Bombyx mori: one gene and its partner. The protein of the gene in region 2 interacts with the protein of the main gene of each other region in a pairwise test. Links are inferred from orthologs where the notes say so. Each region holds a gene or a part of one and is shown on either strand. Other genes may lie near its edges.

Region 1 (4,316 bases), on a different chromosome or scaffold from region 2:
TTCCTACTAGGCTGCACTAAAAGTATCGGGAATGGAATATTTCCACTGTTCCTGTCATATTAAAATATTTTTAATTGAAAACTCCTTGGTTTTAAAAATCGAATACCATTTATTTATTTAAAAAAAGATTCTCGGTCTTGTCACGAGGTTTTGTCAAACTTGTTTAGTCGTTGAGAAAATGGAATTGACTCGAGAAAATTCAAGAGCGATGATTTATTATGACTTTCGAAGTGGTTTAACACAAAAACAGTGTGTTGACCGGATGATTTCTGCATTTGGTGATGAAGCCCCATCCAAAACCCCATTTTAGCGCTGGTTTGCTGAGTTTCAACGTGGACGTGTCAAGCTTAGTGATGATCCCCGTCAAGGTCGTCCAAAAACTGCAGTCACCCAAGAAAACGTTGATGCTGTGCGTAAGCTGATTGAGGAAGATCGACATATGACATACCGCGAAATTCAGGCAACTTTAGACATTGGCATGAGTCAAATACAAATAATCTTGCATGAACAATTAGGTGTAAAAAAGTTGTTTTCCCGATGGATACCGCATTCGCTCTGTGAAGAGCAAAAAGCGGCTCGCGTTACTTTGTGCGTCAGAACTCTCGAAAGATTCCACGCAGGATCCTCAAATGCTGTATACAACATTGTATCAGGTGACGAATCCTGGATATACGCGTACGAACCCGAAACAAAAAACCAGTCACAAGTTTGGGTGTTCGAAAATGAGTTAAAGCCAACAAAAATTGTTCGTTCACGGAGTGTTGCAAAAAAAAAAGGTGGCCACGTTTGTCTCCAAAACCGGCCATGTTACGACTATTCCTCTTGAGGGACAAAGAACGGTTAATGCAGATTGGTATGCTAGTATTTGTTTGCCACAAGTCGTTTCTGAACTCCGTAAAGAGAACTGCAACCGCCGCATCATCCTCCATCACGACAATGAGAGTTCTCACACCGCGCACAGAACAAAAGAGTTTTTAGCAAGAAAACATAGAATTATTAGACCATCCGCCGTACAGCCCCGACCTAAGCCCTAATGATTTCTATACTTTCCCTAAAATAAAGAATAAATTGCGTGGACAGAGATTTTCATCACCTGAAGAAGCTGTGGACGCCTACAAAACGGCCATTTTAGAGACCCCAACTTCTGAATGGAATGGTTGCTTCAATGATTGGTTCCGTCGTATGGAAAAATGTGTCAAATTTCGCGGAGAATACTTCGAAAAGCAATAAATACATTTTTAAATAGTAATGTTGTCACTTCGTTAATTCCCGAAATTTTCAGTGCCGCCCTCGTTTAATATACACCTACTGTCAATTTCATTCGTTTTATTCATCGTCATAGACAATTTGTACCTACACTGAATTCAACAGTCAACTGAGTCAACTTTGCGTTTCATTCTCTAATATATTAAGTGTATAATCTATGCGTTTCATCATTTGTCTCAAAAGGTTCGTAACGTTAAGAATTTTCTTCTACAATTAAGTAAGTAGAAATGCTTTCCATAAAAAGATAGAGTTCTTAATAAATTCAGATATTTCAAGGATTAGGTTAAAATGGTATGATAAATATGTAACAATTTTCAGGAAAACGTAAAAACCTATTGGCGTTCCCGGCACAACGCACCAACGACATGGCTTCTACTCAAGAAGAAATTCTTCCTGAAGGATGGGAAGCTCGCAAGAGTAGAAGTACAGGTAAATTATGCGTTTGCAATTAATACCTATTATGTTTCTTTTGTTAAAATAACATAAACGATTAATCAAATTTCTAATCAATCAACCTAAATCAATAGAATGTTATTGATTTCTAAGATAAAATGGCAGACATTGAGTGTAAAATGTTGGTAGGTAGATTTATATTTCTCGGATCGATATCGAAACAACGAAGACCATCTATGTGTTTATATAAATTTCATTGAGAAATTGTTTTGATTATTATATAGTGATTACTAAAAACTACTTTCAAACGTTTTTATTTTTGAAGTGCTTCAGTGAGTTTTTATTAACACTATTTACTGTTGATTCGGCGTCTTACGAGCCCGCGCTGTAGGAACCACCAGCCTGCCTATTCTTGTTAAGTAGCTATTCCTTTTTGGTTTGTAGGGTGGGGCAGTCATACAATTGACATCGAGACTTGCACCTCGTGTGTGATGTGTGGCGCTGTTTACATTATGATATTTGATGAGCTCTGCAATGTTTGCAGTGGAAACCATTTAACATTAGTGTGTGTTTTTTAATGTTCTCCATAGCATATAAAAATTAACTCAAATTTGTATGCAGTTGGAACAACGCCCCTAGCGGCAAACGTAGGCAAAGTTTCCAACTCCATACAAACTTAAGTTAACTTTTACGCCATCGAGAATGTTATAAAACTCGCGTTAAGCACAAAGATTGACTGTGAGCTTGTCGACACATATATACATACACATAAAAAAGTATAAAAGAACTGGTTCACAATATTAAATATTCAATTTAAGGTTTTGGGTATCACAGCCATAGTTAAAAAAATAATATAAAAAGCTGTTGGCATAAATTTGACTATGCGACTATTATGTAATATTTTATAATAAATACTTATTTTACCTGTTTAATTTTGTATTCACATTTTACAATTTTAACTGTCTGAAAAATTATTATATATTGTATTGTTTTAATCCCTACCAGTTTATAATTATTGTAATTGGTATCAACAATGATGCACTTGTAACAGCAGATAAATAGTTGTGACCAATTCAAATGGTCATCTGGTCTTTGGCTGGGATTGCTTTTGCTATTGGAACCAGAAACTATAGATTATCCCTTTCTGGCTGAGCCTGTGCTCGCCCACCTGTCCTGGTGAAATTGGAAGGGCTCCAGGCCACCAGTATTACTTCCCAAAAAAGCTATAAATTACATATTTTTTCTTTTTTTTTATAAGTCGATTAAAGCTAACAGATCAGTACATAATTATACACTAAAATTTTATACTTCCCATACAATTTTCTTAAAAACAAATCCATGATACAAATATAAAGGGTTGAAATAAGTAATGGGAATAATGCCGTAAATAATGCACTTTACCAACGTGGTATACTTTACCATCATAGTAATAACTTGGACTGCCCAAACTGTGAAATCTATACTAATATTATAAAGATGAAGAATTTTTATATTTGTTTGAATATTCTAATCTCAGGACTTATTGGACTTAATTAAAAAAATGTTTCAGTGTTTAGCCCATTTATTGAGGAAGACTATAGGCTATATAACGTCACATTAAGACCAATACAAGTGCAACACTAATAAACAATGTTTCAAAAACGGGGTGTTTTCCTTTTGAGAGGTTCTGCTGGTTAAAGTTAGCCAAATGAATGAATGACAGAATTGTTATCTTTAAAAGTTCTGAAATAGTCTACGGTAGCATAATAATGTGTCCATATTTTAAGGTTGGCTCACTATAACCTTTTTTATGTCAACAAAATTCTAAAATGAAGCATTCTTTGTGAAGGTGTTATTATAAAGATAATATTAATCCTTATCTGTATCCTTATTATCCTTAACACCTATCCATACAATCTTCTTATGTATTAGTGAGAATTTGTCCTGTTCACTGACAGGATGGACTAACATGTGAGTCAATTTTATGCTGAAATTTAATAGTTGATTCATTTTAGGAATGACATACTATCTCAATAAGCATACAAAAAAGTCTCAATGGGAAAAACCGGGTGGACCAGCTTCTGATGATGATGATGAAGATGATGATGATGAGGGTGGTATTCCCAAGGAGGTAAGATGCAGCCACTTGCTTGTAAAACACAGTGGAAGCCGCCGACCATCCTCATGGCGTGAAGAGCATATTACACGTACTAAGGAGGAAGCTCTTGATATATTACAAGGCAAGATATTGAATTAATATAAATTTTATTTATTCCCATCATCAACGGCAAATACAAAATAAGAATCAAATAATTTCTTTAAAAAATAAAATATCTATTAAGTTTAAACTTAATTGCTTTAAAAAAACACTTGTCTGTTCACTGTTGGAAGATTATTCTCAATGCATAATGCAAAATACAAATTAAATACATAGTAAAATATAGCTTTTTTTCTCTGTGCAAAATTAAGTCACTAAAAATAACATTTGAAAGTATTATTATTTTCAGAGTATCGCCGTAAAATCATTGACAGAGAAGCTAAATTTGAAGAGCTGGCAAGTACATATTCTGATTGTTCATCAGCAAAACGTGATGGGGATTTGGGTCGTTTCAAGAAAGGTCAAATGCAGAAACCATTTGAAGACGTCGCATTTTCCTTGAAAATAGGACAATTGAGCC
Region 2 (4,144 bases):
TTTTGTTTGGTCTGATAAAACACAAAAGTAAGCCATCAGTTTTAGTAACATAATTATTCTGACAGGAACGCGAAAAGAGAAGTTTGTGGTTTTACTGTGAAACATCTCTATGACGAGTCGTCATGTGCAAGCAACAGTTTCTTAATATTAATGTTTTCTTTTTCATTATTCCACATGGATTTTCTGTCTTATAATATCCTTGCATCTATACCCATACAAAATTATATCAATGCTTTACATCTGCCAGCCTAGCCGTCCCGGAATGGAAATTTTTATATGCAAAATTTGTTAGATTTGGGATCAAATAAAGTAGCTCTTCTTCTAAAATTATAAAGCTTAGAATTTTCGGCGAATAAAAAGAAGTTTTTAAGTTGAACACAAAATAACGAAAACTTAAACTAGTGCAAGTTAAAAGAGTGCAAATTTTTTTGTGGATCAAATTTGAAGGCCCTTCTAAAACTCCATACATATACTCATTTAGCTTTAAAAACATATATTATGCGTGTAACTCACACGTGGTAGAAGTGAAATCTTCAAAAATTTTGGCTTCAAGTTAATGTAAAATTTCAGGGAGAGGATAATTATGTATGTTTTAAAATAGTAATGTTCATAGTGATACAAAGTTTGATATTTATTTTACACTTTATTCGTTTAAATTACATAGATTTATTCAATATGTATTAAGTACGAATATTAGGTACGAAGCAGAGCACAAAGAGAACCACGAATTTAAGAAACACTAATGCTACTTCATTTTCTCCCACGTTAAATCTTAAAAATTTAAGTGTCTGTCTCTTTCTACTATCGCTTTTTCTGTTCATCGACTTTCGAATCACAACGATGATAAAGAAGCTTTCACTTAAAAAAGACAATAACATTTTTTTTGCAATAGCAGTTTAAAACTGTTGGTGACAAACGTGTTGCGCACTTTACTCGTATTATTAGTTTATCAAGGTAACATGAACAAAAATAAGTTTGTGGAATAGAATTTTAAATAGACGTATTCCTACCGTTAGTACACCGAAATAAGGTCTAAAAGGAACATGACTGAATGATTTACATTTATAAAGAAAAAAATTATAGACATGGGATTAAAATGCAATGAGAGTTTTTTTTGTAAATTTGGCCTTAATTTATAGCAGAAAACAATTTTTTAATTAGAATTGCGTTTTATTTTAATCAGAAATGGTTTGAGAAGTGCAAAAAATAGGTACCTAGCATATTTTGTGGTTTTTTCTTCGCGGCGAGGGTAGATAATCAGTTAACCTAGGGCAGATTATCTATTTTCTCAATGGTCACACTATAAAAGTATAATCTATGGGTCACACTGTTTCGTGACGTTTGTTGCGTGTTCGTTTTAAAGAAATAAGTTTAGTAAATATTACCTAAATGGTTCGAATGCATTCGTTTTAAGTAGTAATGTCGGATTCGGAAGGTAGTAACTATTCGGGGAGTGGGTCCGAGGCAGGCAGTGCTGTATCAAAACAATCACATCGCAGCGCTGCATCGAATCGGTCGGCAAGATCGCGTTCTATCTCTCGATCAAGGTCCAGGTCGCGTTCTGGAAGCCGTAGCCCCTCTAGGACTCCATCCCGCTCACGATCTAGGTCTCGCTCTAGGTAAAATCCGGGTAGTCTAAGTAAATAATAAGTTTTCCGTGTATCTTTTCACTTGACTTTATGAGGGTTGTTTTGTTTCACAGAAGTCGTTCAGTAGGTTCAGATGCAAGTAAAAATAGAGATGATGAAGCCAAAGAAGCATCTGGCGATGAAGAAGTGGAGGTAACGCATAAATAACATTTAATATTGAAATTGTAGATAACTTTCTGTTTGGGCTATACAATATTTTATGAAACTGTATCAACAGGATGAACAAGAGCCCGAAGGTGAGGATTTGGTTGATTCTGAGGAGTATGAAGAAGACGAAGAAGAGGAGAGGCTGAGGAAGAAAAGAAAAAAGGACAGTCGTTATGGTGGATTCATTATTGACGAAGCTGAGGTATGCAATTGAAATTGGTTTTCATTTGTCTATGCTACGAAATTTGAGGTTAATATAAAAAACGAGATTACAAAGAAAAGTTTAAAGAAATTTTTTTTTTGTCATTTTCATATATAAAGTGTGATTAATTAATGCTACTTTTCATTTGATGTGGACTTTTCTGCATTATTGTATATATAATTTTACCACACACTGTATCCGTGAATAATGCAGATTAAAGCTGTGTTATTAGTTATAATTTAGCTAACTGTGACAATATAATTTAGAACATTGCTACATAGTGTGCCTGCCTATTCACACAAAAATCATAATTCAACATAAGCCTTAGAGCTAAGATGAACGATTGAAGATTTACTATTTCATAAACAGTGTTTTAAGTCACTGCTACTACTACTACTCTCTTACTACCTTAGTTGATTTTGGCCACGGCGACCACTTCAAACTCCGTTTATAACTGTCACAGTGTGATGTGGCTGTGCTGTGGCTAACATAGCCGATCATATTCCTATGTCAACTATTGTATGTTATTTTTGTTGCCATATATTGGCTGTCAAATTTCTGTATTACTGTTCAGGCCTCAAGCCCTGTAGGGCTCATAGACATCACAAATTGCACTCATTAGCTCAAAACTTCAATAAAATGAGTAATTGAAGATACTGTATCAAATAGTGAGTAATACGAGTAATAGTGAATAGTAAATCATATAGTGAGTTCTTGAAAGAGCATAAAAAGTACTAAGTATATAAAATAAATTGAAATAACTTTATCTTGTAGGTGGATGATGAAGTTGATGAAGATGACGAATGGGAAGAGGGAGCCCAAGAAATGGGTATTGTAGGAAATGAAGTAGATGAAATTGGGCCAACAGCTAGAGAAATTGAAGGTCGAAGAAGAGGCACTAACCTTTGGGATTCACAGAAAGAGGAGGAGATTGAAGAATATCTTCGAAATAAGTATGCAGATGAATCAGCAGCCCTCAGACACTTTGGTGAAGGTGGAGAAGAGATGTCTGATGAAATAACTCAGCAAACTCTACTACCCGGTATCAAGGATCCAAATTTGTGGATGGTCAGATGTAGGATTGGAGAAGAGAAGGCTACTGTTTTACTTTTGATGCGAAAATTTATTGCTTTCCAATTCTCGGAAGAACCTTTTTTGATAAAGTCAGTTGTAGCACCAGAAGGAGTCAAAGGCTATGTGTACATAGAGGCTTTCAAGCAGACACATGTTAAAAACATTATAGACAAAGTGGGAACCCTTAAGTCTGGAGTGTGGAAACAAGAAATGGTGCCTATTAAGGAAATGACTGATGTTCTCAGAGTAGTCAAAAAGCAATCAGGACTTAAACCGAAACAATGGGTCAGATTAAAACGAGGTTTATACAAAGATGATATTGCTCAAGTTGACTATGTAGACTTGGCACAGAATCAAGTGCATTTGAAACTACTTCCTAGAATAGATTATACAAGACTGAGAGGAGCTTTAAGAACAGTACAGAGCGATAGTGAAGCAGCAAAGCGAAAGAAAAAGAGAAGGCCTCCTGCTAAACCCTTTGATCCAGAGGCAATCCGAGCGATCGGTGGAGAAGTTACTTCCGATGGTGATTTCCTCATATTTGAGGGCAATAGGTACTCTAGGAAAGGATTTCTGTATAAAAACTTTACAATGTCGGCGATACTGTCAGAAGGTGTCAAGCCTTCACTTACAGAGTTGGAAAGATTTGAAGAGCAACCGGAAGGTATCGATATTGAGTTGGCTGCTCCCGCCAAGGACGACCCTGCCGGCTTGCATTCCTTCTCCATGGGTGACAATGTGGAAGTCTGTACTGGAGATCTTGCGAACTTGCAGGCCCGCATCACTGCTATCGACGGTTCGATGATCACTGTCATGCCAAAACACGATGGTCTTAAGGACCCAATTGTCTTCCATCCGAATGAGTTGCGCAAGTACTTCAAAATGGGTGATCACGTGAAAGTGGTGGCTGGGCGTTACGAGGGCGACACAGGCCTCATAGTGCGCGTCGAACCGCACAGGGTCGTGCTTGTTTCCGACCTCACCATGCACGAGCTTGAGGTGCTGCCCCGTGACCTACAGCTCTGTTCAGACATGGCGACTGGCGTTGACTCCCTCGGACAGTTCCAGTGGG

The links. The genes of interacting proteins can lie anywhere in the genome.
Region 1: the proteins of transcription elongation factor SPT5 (region 2) and rotamase Pin1 interact in binary tests that used the Homo sapiens proteins (3 or more experiments, as listed by UniProt). The link is inferred for Bombyx mori from reciprocal best matches to the Homo sapiens genes SUPT5H and PIN1.

The regions. Positions count from the first base shown.
Region 1 is NC_085107.1:9,297,245-9,301,560, forward strand, and holds the start of rotamase Pin1, read left to right. Parts: upstream 1-1,424; 5' UTR 1,425-1,483; intron 1,484-1,584; 5' UTR 1,585-1,631; coding exon 1,632-1,695; intron 1,696-3,653; coding exon 3,654-3,878; intron 3,879-4,145; coding exon 4,146-4,316. UniProt on the Homo sapiens protein: Peptidyl-prolyl cis/trans isomerase (PPIase) that binds to and isomerizes specific phosphorylated Ser/Thr-Pro (pSer/Thr-Pro) motifs.
Region 2 is NC_085110.1:18,085,706-18,089,849, reverse strand, and holds the start of transcription elongation factor SPT5, read left to right. Parts: upstream 1-1,259; 5' UTR 1,260-1,419; coding exon 1,420-1,619; intron 1,620-1,702; coding exon 1,703-1,781; intron 1,782-1,866; coding exon 1,867-1,998; intron 1,999-2,772; coding exon 2,773-4,144. UniProt on the Homo sapiens protein: Component of the DRB sensitivity-inducing factor complex (DSIF complex), which regulates mRNA processing and transcription elongation by RNA polymerase II.